Linked DNA regions of Tamandua tetradactyla. The protein of the gene in region 1 purifies or fractionates together with the protein of each later gene. This does not show direct contact. Links are inferred from orthologs where the notes say so. Each region holds a gene or a part of one and is shown on either strand. Other genes may lie near its edges.

Evidence for each region. The genes of interacting proteins can lie anywhere in the genome.
Region 2: the proteins of GNG8 (region 1) and GNB5 purify together in Homo sapiens (co-immunoprecipitation; 3 studies listed by BioGRID and IntAct, with this or other methods). This does not show direct contact. The link is inferred for Tamandua tetradactyla from reciprocal best matches to the Homo sapiens genes GNG8 and GNB5.

The regions. Positions count from the first base shown.
Region 1 is NC_135342.1:14,562,616-14,570,827, reverse strand, and holds the start of GNG8 (guanine nucleotide-binding protein G(I)/G(S)/G(O) subunit gamma-8), read right to left. Parts: upstream 3,154-8,212; 5' UTR 3,095-3,153; intron 1-3,094. UniProt on the Homo sapiens protein: Guanine nucleotide-binding proteins (G proteins) are involved as a modulator or transducer in various transmembrane signaling systems.
Region 2 is NC_135340.1:67,017,115-67,025,301, reverse strand, and holds the start of GNB5 (guanine nucleotide-binding protein subunit beta-5), read left to right. Parts: upstream 1-5,185; 5' UTR 5,186-5,312; coding exon 5,313-5,424; intron 5,425-8,187. UniProt on the Homo sapiens protein: Enhances GTPase-activating protein (GAP) activity of regulator of G protein signaling (RGS) proteins, such as RGS7 and RGS9, hence involved in the termination of the signaling initiated by the G protein coupled receptors (GPCRs) by accelerating the GTP hydrolysis on the G-alpha subunits, thereby promoting their inactivation.

The DNA of each region.
Region 1 (8,212 bases):
AGGACCGCCTCCTCCTCCCGCCGCCTCCTCCCCCCTGCCCTTGGGTCTGTCTCTCTAGGTCCTCTCCAGGTCTGTCTGTCCCACTCTTTGTCTTTCTATTTTTGTGTCTCTCTTCTCTTTCCCTGTGTCTCGGTCTCTCCTGGTCTCTCTGTGTCTCTCTCCCAGTCTCCCCTCTGGATCTCTGTCCCTGTCTCCATACCTCTCTCTCTCTCTCTCTCTCTCACACACACACACACACACACACATTCACAAGAAAGGACAAGGTGGCCCCAAAGTGTGCCCCCCACCCTGCATTTATTCCATAGTCACGCAAATCTCTTCTGTGTGTCCCACACAGCCCCACCCTGTCACACACAGTCACATCTGTCACCTCAGTGTGACCCCAGCAGCAACACACAGACTCACACTCCCTTGCACAGAGATGTACATTTCGCTGTGCCACACAGTCCTGTGAACAACCTGCACGCAACACACTGACACAGTCTCCCATAGGGTTACAGTCACCCCCTCTCTTAGAATGCCACAGATGGCCACTCACTTTCATGTGTAATACATCATCACCAATAACCCCTCATACAACCACACAGACACACAATCTCAGAGCGTGACAAATGTACAAACACGGTTTCTTACGGTTTCTCACAATCTCTCAAAATGTCACACATATCCAGATACAATTTAAACTCCCAGGCTCACCTGTCATAGTCACACACACAATTTCTCCATGATTCACACGGTGATGTGTAATTATGCAGACAACCTCTTCCTTAGGCACTATTACAATATTTTACAATGTTACACAGCAACACACAGTCATGGTGTCAGATACAGTCTCACACAACCAGTGACTCCCACAAACAATCTCACACAATCTTCTGGGGTCATGTGCAATTCACTCACACTTTCCCTCCACACACAGTCACACACAGTCTGTCTCTGTCACACGCACAATCTGTTGGTGCCATGATCAGTCAGTATCTCACAGAATCCCTCACAATTTTACAATGTTTCTCTCACACACACACGAAACTAATCTATTGCTGAGCTTCACACTGGGTGTTTCACACAGAGGCATCACCTCACACCAGGTCTTCACCCTCACGTAGCAACCACCTCTCTTACATATAAGCACAGGCATCTGTCATGCTGTCGTCTCTAGGTGCCCGCACTTTTGCATACACTCATGCACAGTTACAATGCAATGTCTCACATGTGCTGTGCCAACCTCTCAGGATCACACACAACTTCAGAGTCCCACAGTCACACTGACCCTCACAGTCTGTAGTGGTGTCACAGTCACCATCTCTGTCACATCCACTCTCCCCCACACCTCTCACTCCGCGTTCTTACACCATCCTTGGTATATCACAGTCATTCAGTCTCTCCCCTCATGCATCGTCTGCCCATGTGACACACACCAGCTGTTATGTCCTCGCCATGTTGCACAGTTTCTCACACGTACCACTTCACAGTGATGTAAATCTCTATGTCATGTGCAGGCACACACACTGTCTCTCACATGCACTGCCACACTGAAACTCTCACTCTCACAAATGGTCTCCTGACGTCACATACAGTCACCCAAATAGTGTCTCTCGCACACCCAGTCACACACCATCTCCCGGTGACATGCACAGCCACACAATCTCTCAGTGTCACGGAGAATCTCATGGGGTCACAGGCGCACCTAATCCCACTGTGTCACACACAGTCACCTCCATGTCATCTCACATATGCAGCCACACGCTGGGTTTCTCACAGTCACACCCAATCTCTCGTCCCACATCATCTCACCCTGCCACGCAGCCTTCTGCACACAATCTTCTAGTGTCACGCAGACTCTTAACAATGTTACAGCCACACACACTCTCTGTCACACACACCTAACAGCATTACACATTCACACGGCCTCAGTGTCACACAGCCTCTCCCGGCGTCACCCACGCACACCCACGCGGCGTCTCCGGGGCTCGAGTCGCACGGGGTCTCGCGCACACACGCGGCCCTCTATCCTCCCCTGACAGCCCCCCGCCAGCCGCACGGGGGCGCCCGCGGCCCGCCCACCCGCCCGCGACAAGGTCGAGCCCCACCGGAGGGAGAAGCAGAGAAAGACACAGGGACGCAGGGAAAGAAAGAGGCCAGGAGGGATTCGGAGGCATAGAAAGGAGAAGGGAGCTGGATAGGAAGAGGGAATATCGACTGGGACCCGGAAAAACTGAGAGGGAGAGGGAGAGCGACAGAGACAGGGAGAGAACTGCAGAGAGACAGAGGTACACACGGAGGGAGCAGAGGACGCAGGAGTGCCAGATGGAAATAGAGGGTCAGAGACGGGGACAGAGAGACAGGCACACAGAGACAGCCGGGAGCCGAGAAACAAAGAGACAAGTATTCGGCACCGCCCACGGGGGCGGGAAGGGGCGGGGCCTCTGGGCGGGGCGCGTCTGGGGCGTGGCATTCGAATGGGGCGTGTCCCGGGAGGGGCGTGGTCTGGCGGGCGCGTGCTCCGAGGGGCGGGTCCTGGGGCGAGAAGCAGACGCGGCGGCGAGTTGGGGGCGCGGGACGGAGGGGGCGGAGGGGGAGGAGGGGGAGGAGGGGGAGGGGCGTCTCCGCTGCAGTCTGCCCACTTTCTAAGGCCTGGACTGGGAAGCCGGCCCGGGCCCGCAGCAGAGATTTGGTAGGGCGGGGTAGGGGGGCGGCATTGGGCCCTGGCTTCCCTCCCCCTCCTCCTCCCCCGCGGGCGCGGCAGGGCCAGGTGGGGGAGGGGACCCGGGCCCGCATCTGGAAAGCATCAGGCGCGCCGGACGTGCCAGGGCCCCGGGCCGGGCTGCGGAAGGGGGACGGGGGGCAGCGGGCCCTGTCCCCCACTGCAGAGCGGGGTCTGCCGGCGCCGGGGAGGAGCCTGGGCGTGCGCCGAGCCCCCGCACCTCCCGCAGCTGGTTTCCATCAGCAGTTCTGGCCCGGGCAGCCCGCTAGGAGGAAACCCGACTTAGAGCCCGGGGAAGATAGGGTAGTGACCCCAACCTACCCCGTTCCCTCCGCTGGGCAGCCCGAGGCTGGGGGCGGGGGAAGAAGGAAAGACAGACGCGGCCCGAACCTTTATCTCTGGGTCTCTGGCGAGTTGCGGATCTTAGCCTTCTCCCCACCCTACGGCTCACCGCAGCCCCTCAGACGTGCAATCCTGCTCTCTGCTTGCACGAGACTCGTCCCCGCCTCGTGAAAACCTAATAGTAGGTTGTATTCTCTGTCCCCATTTTTTAGAGGAGAAAACTGAGATGCGGGACTCGGATTCTGATCTGCCTTTAGTAAGTTATTAGACAAATGGGAAGTGAACGCCGACAGTGAATTCTAGAATCGGATACCCGGTTGCCTGCTGGTTATCTCCACTGGATGCATCAAGCTCAACGCGTCCAAAACTGAGCCACAGCCGCTCCTACCTCAGACTTAGCCATCTCAGTTGATGGTAAATCTTTGAGGTCATCCTGGACACACACTCCCCTCCTCTTCACCCCGCAATTGACCTAGCAACAAACCCTATTGACTCCATCTTCAAAATACCTCCAGAAGCCAGTCACTTCTCTCCTCCTTTGCCACCCCCACTTTGCTCTCAGGAGTCACCTCTCGGGACCACCACCTCTCACTTGAACTGTTGTAATCACCTCTTCTCTGGGCTCCCAGGTTCCATTTTGGCCCCCTTCAGTCTGTCCCCACCCCCAGTAGAATGTTTAAAACTGTTCCCTAAAGAGAGATCCTATTTAAAACGAGGTCCCCAGATAATAATAAGTGTTGTCGAGGATGCAGAAAAATCAGAAACCTCATACACTGCTGGTGAGAATGTAAAGTGGTGGAGCTGCTTTTGAAGTCTCAGAGTTTCTCAAAAATTTAAATATAGAGTTACCGGGTGGGCCACGGTGGCTCAGCAGGCAAGAATGCTCGCCTGCCATACCAGAGGACCCGGGTTCGATTCCCGGTGCCTGCCCATGTAGAAAAAAAAAAAAAAGATATATATATAGAGAGAGAGTTACCAAATTACCCAGCAATCCCAATCTGAGGTAGATGCCCACATATATAGAGAGGTGAAATAAGAGGAATCTGGGTACAAAAACTTGTACGCAAATGTTCATGGCATTATCCTAATAGTCATAAAATGGAAACAGTTCACTTTTTCCACGTGATGAAAGGATGAACAAAATGTGGTACATCCATACCATGGAATGATATTTAGTCAGAAACAAACAATGAAATAATTAAATTAAATAATGAAAAATAGTAATAAAAACAATGAAATATTGATACATGCTGCAACATGGGTGAACCTTAAAAACATGATGTTAAGTGAAAGAAGCCAGACATAAAAGGTCACATACTGTATGATTCCATTTACATGAAATGTCCAGAATGGGCAATTCCATAGTGACAGAAAGTAGCTTAGTGATTGCAAGGTGTTGGGAGTTGGGGAGATTAGACATAATGGATAAGGGATGCAGAGTTTCTTTTTGGAGCAATTAAAATGTTCTGGAATTGATAGTGATGGTTGTGCGACTCTATGAATATACTAAAAACCATTGAATCATATATTTTAAATGGGTAAGTGGTGTGGTATGTGAGTTATATCTCAGATGTTACAAAAAAAAAGATCCATGCAGAAACTTAAGTCCCTTCTCTGCTCAGAATTCTTCACTGGCTCCCATCTCACTCAGAGTAAAACCCCAAATCCTCATTTGGTCCCACAGGGCCCCACACGATGGGGTGGCTGTCTCCCATCTCTCACCTCACCACCTGCCACTCTCTCCCTCACTCCCTCTGCTCCAGCCACACTGGTCTCCTTGCCATTTTGCCAGCATGCCAGGCACAGTTGTGCCTCAGGGCCTTTGCACAGACTGACCCTTCTGCCTGGGATACTCTTCCTCAAGATAGCTGCAAGCTGAACTTAAATGAAGAAAGTAAAAACTAAATCCTTTACCTGGGGCACTCTAAAACAGCTTGAATAAATGGAGAGATGATAATCCTGTAGCACTGTAACTAAGGAATTAGGATTTAAGGAATGATTTTGATTACTGAATCATATTCCTTTTTGCTTTCTGGGATATTGTAGTAGACAGAGGGGAATACCTGAAATCCCTAAACTATAATTGAGCTGCCCTGATAGCTGAAATGATTGTTAAAGCCCTTTTCTGGTGACTTTGTAACTGTAAGAGCTATTATGCCCCTCATCTGGTCATTTTCTTGTTGGGCAAAGGCCCTAATGCTAATGAAGAGTTTGGAGTCAGCCATTAACTAGTTTTAGCCCTGGACATTTGTAAATCAGCTAGACTCAGCTGTTGAAAGGCAACTTGTCTCCCTTCCTTTGGATTTACACCTTTAGTATTGAAGTGATAGCTCTGCCTCCCCTCCTTTTAGCTTATGTTCTATGGAAATGATAAAGATAACACTGTCTCCTTTTCTGCTTTGAACCTGCAATTCAAAATAACCTCATCTCCCCTTGCTAAAATTCTTAAAAACCTTGAACCCCCTAAACTTGGGGAGACAGATTTTGTTCTCCTACTATGTGCCTAGTAATAAATTCTTTCTCTTTTTGGGGAAAAAAAAAAGATAGCTACAAGCTGCAAGCACCCACCTCCCTCTGGTCTCAAATGTCACCTTCTCAATCAGACCATCCGTGATCACTATACTCAAAATTACCAACACTTCTGTCCCCCAATCTGGATGCCCCCATATCCCCTTCTCAGTTTTGCCCCCATGGTCTTCATCACCCTTAACAAATAAAGAACTTAATTTATTATGTCAACATTCTCTCCTCCCCTCCGACCCCCAGTTCCTTGTGTATCCTTCTAGAGAGAATCCATCCTGCTAATAGGCTATTTAGGGTAGTGCTAAGAGCATGGACTCCGGAGAAAAGACACATGCATTTAAATGCTGGCTTTGCCATCAAGTAGCTTCAGATAAATTACTTAACCTCTCTGTGCCTCAGTTTTTCTATCTGTAAAATGGGCATCATAATAGCATCTGCCCCATGAGATTGTGAAGATTAAATGTGTTAACATATGCAAAGCGTTGAGAATAGAATCTCGCATTTAACAAGTGCCCAATTAGTGTTAGCTGTTATTTTTTAATTATTTTATTTCATTTCCTTTCTTTACAAATGAAAAGAAGTCATTAATATTTATTTATTTGACCACTGAGTCACCTACTTAGCCTTAGATAAGACCCTTGCCCTTTCTGGCCTCAGTTATACATTTTGTGGAATGGAAATGGGGCAACGATTCCCAAGGGGACTTGACAAGCAATGGCTTTTCCTAGTAAGTTTTTTTTATATATATATACATGGGCAGGCACCGGGAATCGAACCTGGGTCCTCTGGCACGGCAGGCAAGCGTTCTTGCCTGCTGAGCCACCGTGGCCCACCCCTTAGTAAACTTTTAAAAATAACTTTCATTGATTATTACTCTAAAAGAAATAAGTTTACCCCCACACACACACCTGAATGGAAGTTCCATAGGGGAGAGACTTTTTTTTTTCTATTTTGTTCCCTGCTCCATCCCCAGTACCTGGTTGGGCACTGGAGATACAGGTAAACAGGGCAGGCCCTGTCCCCACTGTCTCAGAGCTCATGTGACAGAGAGATCACCCACGCATGTTAATACAAAGGTTAAAGCAGCGACAGATACCCATTCTTTAGACTCTGGAGTCAGATCAGGTCAAGTCCTGGCCCTTTCTGTCCTTGCTGTGTGACCCTGGGCAAGTAATGGCTCCTCTCTGAGCCACCATTTACCCATCCATGAAATGAGTATAACTATTGGGCTTACCCAACAGAAAAATGGGCAAAGGATGTGAACAGGCAATTCACATAAGAGAAAACACAAGTGGGGCCAATAAACAGAAGGAAACATCAAAGAAGCAGGAAAGGAGAAGGCTTAATTAAAACTGTATTGTTCTTACCCATCAGTTTGGCAAAATGAAAATGACCAATAGCATTCGGTATTTGGTGAAGGGGTGGAAAAAGGGGGATCCAAAAATTGCTTTTGATGTGAGGATACTGTGATCTAAGGTTGTATACTTTGGATGGACTGTACAGCATGTGACTATATCTCAATAAAATTGCACTAAAGAGAAAAAAGTTAAACACACAAATTGCTTTTGTAAATGCTAATTGAGACAGCCTTAACGGGAGTAAATGTTGGAGTATCAAGTAAAAATTTTTAAATGAGCATTCTATAATGGATCCTACAGAAAAACATATATGCACAGAAAGGTTATGCCAGTATGTTCACTATAGCAAGGCATGTAATAGCCAAAAATCTCGATTGTTGACAAAATTGGATTGCTACAATGGACTCTCATGCAGCTGGTAATAATATATTGATGGGAAAATGTCATCTGAATTTAGATGAAGCGGACAATTCCTAGATGACTATAACTTAGCAAAACTGACACAAGAAGAAATAGAAAAACTATATAGTGTTATACTCATCGAAGAAAGTCAATCCTTAATGAAAATCCTTCCCACAATGAAACCACCTGCCAAAGGGAGTAAAGGCAAATGTATAGTCCAATTTACATTAATATAAATAGTTATGTATATAACACATATAGTATAACTATACATCGTTTTATATATACACATATTTATGTGGTTATTTATATTTGTATATGTATGCAAACACATAAAGAAAACCATGCAAGGATGCACATCAAACTGTTATGATAATTTCTGGGGAAGGCACTGAGATTGAAAGAGGGGATTTGGGATCTATCCCTCTATCTATGTTGTTTCCATTTTCATGATATTGTATTTATGACCAAAACATAACTCAAGCAAAATTTAGATTCATTGTAGTAAAAAGAGCCAGTGATAGGAAGATGATGTTGAGACCACCCGCAGATCTCTCTGGGGACTACCATTTCCAAAGCAAACAGTGATTGTACCATAAATTTTAGTCCAGAGGCAGAAGAGCATTTATTTCTCCCATTTCCCTAGAGAATGAGAGTCCACCACATGTGTGACACTGTGCATTTATTTACAAAGAGGCGAGAGAAACACACAGGGCTCCCCTGTGCACTGGGGAGTCACCATCGTCATAATAAATACAGTAATTAAAAAAAAATACTGGATTGGAACAGCTGAGGGTCATCCTGGGCTCCCCCTGCCCCACTCCCTCTCACAGAGACGCCCCAAGAGAGAAGCCATCCCTTTTCCCCTTTTCCACCTCCCAAC
Region 2 (8,187 bases), on another chromosome or scaffold:
TTTGTTTTCTCTTTTGGTCTATATTTAAATTTCTTCTCCTTATAGAGATACCCGTTGTACTGGAATAGGACCCACCCTAATCCAGTTTGGCCTCATCCTAACTAACAACATCTTCAAAGATCCTATTTCTAAAGAGTGTCACATTCACGAGCTCAAGGGTTAGACTATGGACATATCTTTTTGGGTGACACAAGTCAAAGTTCAGAGAAGCCATGCAACTAGTCTCAGTGGTGAGGGAGGGCAGGTTCTGGTCAGCCAGAGCCCACACCCTTGGCCACTAGATGTTCTTGCCACTAGAATGGTCTTCCTAATATGCCAGTCTATTATGTCCCTCCACACAAGGTGGCCAAAAGAACTAAATGAGTTAATACATACAGTGCTTAAAACAGCGCCTGGCGCTTCATAAGCACCATGCAAGGGTAATTGCGGTGGCAGTATTTTTCATGCCTATCTTTCTAATTGCATCTCCCACCACCTGCTCACAGACAGTTCAGGTTCCAGCCATGCTGGTGGGGCCCCCAGATGCTGCAGCCGCCTGCACACCCCACCTCTCCACCCACAATGCATATCCCTCTCCTCATCCTCCCCCCTCCCGGTTCTCCCTACCCCTCACCTGTGAGCTCTACCTCAGGACTCAGCTCCAGGGCAGCTCTCCCAGAGATTTCTCTTGACAGGCAGGCAGAGTCGGGGTCTCCCTCTTTGGGCTTGGCAGGGCTGCCCGAGCCCCAGCACCTATCTGTTGGGGGCAAACCTCACCCACTAAGCCTGTGCAGGGACCGTGAGTTTTGGGCTTTCAACTATTTGGCCCCGCAGGGCACCAACACACTCATTTTATGGCTTTGGCTGGAGTCAGGCTCCACCTGTTTTTCCTCTTAAAGTGCACCCTGAGGGGAGGATTGTGTTTTTTAGGAAGTTTTAAATTATAGTGCCCATTACAACTGGGTTTTCCATGGTGACATCCCACAGGATTTATATTGTCCTGCAATGACCCATTGTGATCGCTGCCAAAATGAGTTAAACTTAACCACAACAAATTCAGAAATCCTATTGTCTGACTGGTTTCTCACTGATTAAATAAATGAGGTGGTGTTGACCCAGCATGTTGTAATAAACCAAAGGTTATAAATTAACTGCATTTACTTTATCCCATGTGTAGAGGTCTGAGCAACTACCATGATAAAAGAAGATGAGGCTTTAGAAAGCTGCTCCTATTGGCTTTTCACACCCTTGTCCTTTTTCTTTTCAGCCTCATCTTGGGTAAAACATGTGTGATCAAACCTTCCTGGTTAATGTATTTGGCTCGTGTGACAAATGTTTCAAACAAAGAGCTCTGAGACCAGTGTTCAAGAAATCTCAGCAACTCAACTACTGTTCTACGTGTGCAGAAATAGTAAGTGATACCTTATTATTTTATTTATTTAAGTAGTTAACCTGTCTTAAAATGATGTCTAGGATGAGGGTTCTATGACAGAGGAGTTGCCATAGAATCTGATTTAAACGACACAAACATTTCTAGCATCCCCAGGCTTTGTGAGGCAGTGTAGCATAGGGGTTTAGGGTATGGGCTCTGGTTTGTCTGACTTCCTGGGTTCAAATCCCAGTTATGTTCCTCAAAGGTGGTGTGCCCACTGGTTCTTACCTCTCTCGTTGTGTCTATATTCCCATCTGTAAAATAGCATCTATCTCTAGGATTTTGTGAGGATCAAATGAGTTATTTTGATAAAGTGTTTTAAATAGTACCCAGCAACCAAGCTAAAAGGGACTCTGGCAATTAAACTTCCTGGGAGCACTTTTAAGGGCCCTGTCCTATTAAAAGAAGATTCTATTGAAGATTCAACCATATAGGACCTCAGTACCAAGCAAAATTATGCTTAAGAAAAAGTACTCCTTGCCCTAAACCGTCAGTGGGGACTAGGAACTGGACACACCACTTGTAATTTTCAAAGTATCCCAAATCAAGTGCACTAGGACTCAGTCCTGTCTCAGAGGCTGTGTGCTCTCAGTAGTGCCGCTGGAGCAGAGCCCCAACCTGGTGAAACGTGGTAACGCACTCTCACCCAGAAGGCCAGTGGGAAAACCCGTATTATGAACACACTTAAAAATAAATGTCAAAGAGAGGAAAGTTGATTTTGCCATTTCATTCAACTGAAGAGGAACAAATTTATCTTCCTGGTTCCATTGTAATCCCTCACAGTGATTACATTAAAAAAGTTTATCTCATAAAGCTATAGCCCAAGTTGGCATAAAAACTTTGGTACAGAATAGTGACTCTGATGTCACTCCAGGAGTGGTATAATGGGCTACTACCAACAGCATACCTCACTTTGCAAGTTGTAAACTTGGCTCTGCAAATTATAAAGCTGAGGACATTCAGTTCCTAAAACAACCCTGCTTTCTAGTGGCCCTATCCTCCTGGGGCAGCGCTATATTAATCTAGCACTTCTGTTTTCTAAACGACCTCCTCAGTGTGGAAAAGAAAGAAACCCAGAATCCCAGTCATGGGATTCTCTATAGCACCATAGATTCTCCCCACGTCAGAGAGCCTGCTTGGAGATACTCTCCCAGGCAACTGTCACCAGCTGTGTTCACCACAAACACCTGGCAATTTCCCATAATTCAGACAGCAGGCGTTAGCTGAGGAGACATCCAAGTGACTATCAGCTGGGAGTTGGGGTGGTATAAACACAACCCCCAGTGGACCTTTTTCATGAGTGGGACCCTGCTGAAATGCAGCAGGCCTCAACACGGCTGATCTCCAGCTTCCTCAATTATAAAAAGGAAGCCGCTTTGCTAACTTTGCCTAGCTGTTAAAAAGTTACATGACCTTGTTATCTCTAGAGAGTAGACTTTCCAGATTGGAGGATGTTTGGAGTTTATTCTACAGAGAAAACCCCCAGAGGAGGGCACACACCAGTGTGGAGCTCCACCCACCCCAGGTCTTCAAATACAGGCAGACCCTAACCCAGGCACACACATCCCACTATGGGCCAAGACGTTCCAGCCCTGAAGCTGTGATGGGAGGATGTTGATTTGCCTGGGCCTTCTGAGATGTCCTTGTGAGAAGTGCACCTCCCTGCTTCTGTGGCCTACGGTCTCATTTAAATTACTTCATGCAAATTGCTCAAATGTATAAGGCAACTTGAATAATAATCAGTGCATACTGTGTGCCACAGATCGCTCTGAATGCTCTAAATATTAACTCTCTTGAGATCCCTATGAGGTAGCTGTACCCCTCCCCCTCCCATTTATAGATGAGGAAGCTGAGATACAGAGAAGTTAAGTAAATTCTTCAGTCACACAGCAAAGCCAGGATTTTCCCCTAGGCTGTCTGATCTAGAGCCTATGCACTTAATTTTTTGCCCTACAAATTCTGAAAGATCTAATATTTTGCTTTTATATATTATTTTAATTTTATATAAATATTTGCATCTATATAAATATATTTACTTTATTTTAATAAAATAGCTATATTTTTTCTTTTATTCTTTTTATTTACTTGTTATATATAGTTATACACACTTTATGTGTTCTGTTTTATACATTCGTTTAATAAACTAACATTAATTGAGCACCTACCATAATGCAGTAATTATGCTAAATGCCGAGAATAAACAATGAATAAAGCTGTATTGATGGAGAAGGGAGACTGGAACGGGCACATATTTACATCTACTTTGTATGGAGAAGTCTGCTAAGAGTGTATACTCACGCTATTTTTCTTAATTCTCATAACAGCCCTGTGGAGTAGATACTAGCCCCATTTCCCAGATAAGGACACTTAGAAGCTCAGAATCTAACTCCAAGCCAACTTTGTATAGATTATTGTAGATGACTTCCAGCTTTTCTCAGATAAAGACGGCTCAGGACAGCACGCAGGAGCTGGGTTCCCCAGAGAGGGGGTACAGAAAAGGGGTGCATCCAGGATTCTGCTTGGGCAATTTTCATTCTGGAATCTGAAACCTTGATCTGTTTTCCCATTTTGTGTGCACGCGCGCGCGCACACATACAAACACGTGTACACACACACACACACACACACACACACACACACACACGAAGTTGAGGACTGCATGAAGTCCAGAGACATATAGCTGAATGGAGTCAGACTGCTGCCTGGGTCAATACTGCCCCTGCTAATCTTTCTAGTAGTGTGACTGTGGGCAAGTTACCTAATCTTTCAGTGCCTCGCTTTTCTCATCTGTAAAATGGGGACAATAATAGAGCCCATTCAGAGTGATTATTGTGAGGATTAAATGATTTCCTCATATAAAGCACTTTAGTGCCTGTCACTGCAGAGAGATGGGGATGCTTGAGTCTGCCATAAAGTCACTGGATTCGCATCCTTGAGAGAACTGTAGCAACCCTTCATTCTAATGGAGAGGAAGCTGCTCGCAGTGATGCTTCAGATATCCCTGCGCTTGACCTCAGAAGCCGCTATGCGCCCTCTGCGCCCTGTCACCTCCCTTTGCTGCCCCCAGGCCAGAGACATGATTCCTGCATTAGGAAAGAAAAAGCAAAGCCAAGGGCGAGGCTCCTAATACCGCAGGACTCCGGGGTTGGTCGGAAGCCAGAACTAGTTTTATTTTTGCCTACTGAAATCGACAGAGGAGGAAAGTTTGGGTTGTAGGTGGGGCAGCCGAAGCTCCTCACTTGACTGGTGCTACCGAGATCAGGCCGGGTATTAGCCGCGCAGGCCAAGCTTCATTGCCCTCTTCTCTCCAGTCTGCCTTTGCAAACAGAAATCCCTGAGCCGTGTATCAAGTCCCATTGGAGGAGCGGGGGCCCTGGGGAGGGGCAGGGGGAGGTTTGTGCTGTGTCATTGGGACTCCTCAGGTTGCCCAGGAGCCAGGCAGTCGTGGGTTCGAATCCCAGCTTGTCCTCACTGTGTGTGCGTCACCTGCAAGTCACGTATCATCTCGAGCCTCAGTTTCCCCACCTATAAAATAGGCGTGGCACTGCCTGCCTCCCCACGGTGATGTGCGCACAGAGGTACCGCAGATATCGCACCAAGCACTGCGCCAGGGCGCGCGCGCAGCGGGTGGGGGGACAAAGGGTTCAGGACGCAGAGAGGGTGCAAGGCGCGGAGGAGGCGCCGGTACCCGCGGGCGAGACCCGCAGAGAAGTGGGGGGCGGCCGCAGCAGCCCGGCTCGCGGCTGACGGCGTCATCACCCGGAAGGCGGGGCCGCGCTCGGGAGAGACCCGGACTGGAGCTGCGCCCGCCGCCGCTCAGCACCCGCGGGTAGACGCGACCTCCTCCGCCGGCTCACCCCCATCCCTCTCTCTGCTTCCCTCCTGCCGCCCTCCCGAGAAGATGGCAACCGACGGGCTGCACGAGAACGAGACGCTGGCGTCGCTGAAGAGCGAGGCCGAGAGCCTCAAGGGCAAACTGGAGGAGGAGCGGGCCAAGCTGCACGACGTGGAGCGTGAGTGTGGGCCGGGCGGGACCGGGCGCGGGAGGCGGGCAGCGGGGAGCGGGGAGCGGGGAGGGGTCGCGGCAGCCGGCACACTGGCGGCCTCGCCTGATCCGGGCCGAGTAAACAGGACAGGCTTCTAGTACCGGGTGAGGGCGGCCAGGGCCTGGGGTGGGGAGCAAGGCCCGCGCCACCGCCGTGGGGTGGGGACCCCTGGGTGCCTGGACGCTCCTCTAGGGCGCATGTAGCGAGCGCCGGCCTCCCGGGCGCGGGGGTTTCGGCCCGCAGCGGAGCCGGCCCTCGCAGCGTCCCGGCACCCAGCCGAGCGTCAGCCCGCCCTCTGGCGGAGGTTGGCCCGCCCCTGGGCGGAGACGCTTGGTTGCTGCAGGCCCTGGCCGCTGTCACTCCGACGGAGGATCTTGGGACTAGTTACCCTCACCGGCCTGGAAGATGCTAAATAATTTCTGTTCTGACTTTGGGGGGGGGGTTGTGGAGGGAACGGGGGTGGGGGTGGGAGGGAACCGGTGGAAGCATGGCTCAGTGACGTCAAACACACAGAGCCGGTGTGGGTCTTGGCCTAGGATAAACTCCTGTTTCGTTTTATAATCTTTCGACTTTCTTCATCACTGTTGTCTTTTCTCAGTTTTGCTTTTTCAAGAAGCCAGACTCTGATTTAAAAGTTAATTTCTTCAACCCTCCAGCCCCCGCCCCAACCTCCTTTGGGGCTGGATGTGGGAAGACCATTAATCCGATCATTTAATTCATTAAGATTGTTTAAGAAAGTTTTTGAAAAGAGTGGTGTGATTAGCATGAAAGGACAATAGCAATCTTAATCTTAAACTTACATTATTGACCAGCACCATAATTCAGAGCCTACTCTGTGAATTTTCTGAGTGAGAATTAAATAGGTTAAATGACTCTTAGTGGGTCAGTTTCCCTTTTACTCCGTTAGATGGTTTTATCCTCAGTGGAGCTTGGGCTAAGGGCCAGGCTTGGGGGGTAGTCTTCCCTGCTTTTCAGCTCTGAGGCTGGTAGCTCTCCTTAGCTGAGCAAGGTCTCCCCACTGTCCCCTTATCACACCTATACATTGTGCTTCTCAGTGGCAGGAAGACAAAACAACTTGCCCAAGGACCCCCGCCTCCTAGTGGCGTCAGGATTCCAGCCCTGGCTCACTTCCGCTTTTTTGCTGGATCCCTTTATACTTTACACAGATGGGAGTTTTCCAGAAACTCATATACTTGTAAGTGTGAGCTGCTTGGGTGGCACTGTGCCCACTGGGGTGTTTTTCGGTCTTTTCTGTGAATTTGTCAGTTGCCACATGTGTTAGTTTGCTAGCTGCGGGAATGTGATATACCAGAACTTAATGTCTTTTTAAAAAGGGAATGTATTAAGTTGCAAGTTTATGGTTCTAAGGCCATGAAAATGTCCAAATTAAGGCAAGGCTATGAAAATGTCCAAACTGAGGTATCCAAGGAACGATACCTTGGTTCAAGAAGGCTGATGATGTTCAGGGTTTCTCTCTCAGCTGGAAAAGCACATAGTGACGTCTGCTGGCTTTTTCTCCTCGTTTCATAAAGCTTCTTCTACGGCTTCCCCAGGGCTCTGTCTGTTCTGTTGGCTCTATCGGTTCTGGTGGCTCTAAAGCTTTTTCAAAAATGGGTCCCTCTTAAAGGGCTCCACTAGCAACCCCATCTTTAATGGGTGCAGACATATCTCCATGGAAACCATCCATTCAAAAGTTACCACCCACAATTGGGTGGATCACATCTCCATGGAAACAATAAAAAAGATTCCACCTAGCAATATTAAATGAGGATTAAAGAACATTGCTTTGCTGGTGTACATAATAGCTTCAAACTGGCACACCATGAAATGGAGCTTCTGGGAGCCCCAGGGAAGTTTGGTCAGTCCAAATGAGGACACTATTGCTGTCCTCTCTACGGGTACAGTGCCCTCAGGAGCCAAGGTCAGATTTTGGATCCACAATGGAAAGGTCTACTTCCATCTGTGTTTAAGTCAGAACTTTTTTTTTAAATTAATTTAAAAATTAAAAAAAAAAATATAACAACAAACACAGTCTTATCTTATCATTATTCCGTTCTACATATGTAATCAGTAATTCACAATATCATCACATAGTTGCATATTCATCATCATGATCATTTCTTAGAACTTTTGCATCAATTTGGAAAAAGAAATAAAAAGAAAACAGAAAAAAATTCACATATACCATACCCCTTATCCCTCCCTTTCATTGATCACTAGCATTTCAATCTTTGTTCCCCCTATTATTTATTTTTATTCCATGTGTTTTACTCGTCTGTTGATAAGGTAGATAAAAGGAGTATCAGATACAAGGTTTTCACAGTCACACAATCACACTGTGAAAGCTGTATCAGTATACAGTCATCTTCAAGAAACATAGCTACTGGAACACAGCTCTACATTTTCAGGCAGCTCCCTCCAGCCTCTCCATTACATCTTGACTAACAAGGTGATATCTATTTTATGCATAAGAATAACCTCCAGGATAACTTCTGGACTCTGTTTGGAATCTCTCAACCATTGACACTTTATTTTGTCTCATTTCACCCTTCCCGCTTTTGGTCCAGAAGATTTTCTCAATCCCTTGATGCTGAGTCTCAGTTCATTCTAGGATTTCGGTCCCACATTGCCAGGAAGGTCCACACCCCTGGGAGTCATGTCCCATGTAGACAGGGGGAGGGCAGTGAGTTTGCTTGTTGTGTTGGCTGGAGAGAGAGGCCACATCTGAGC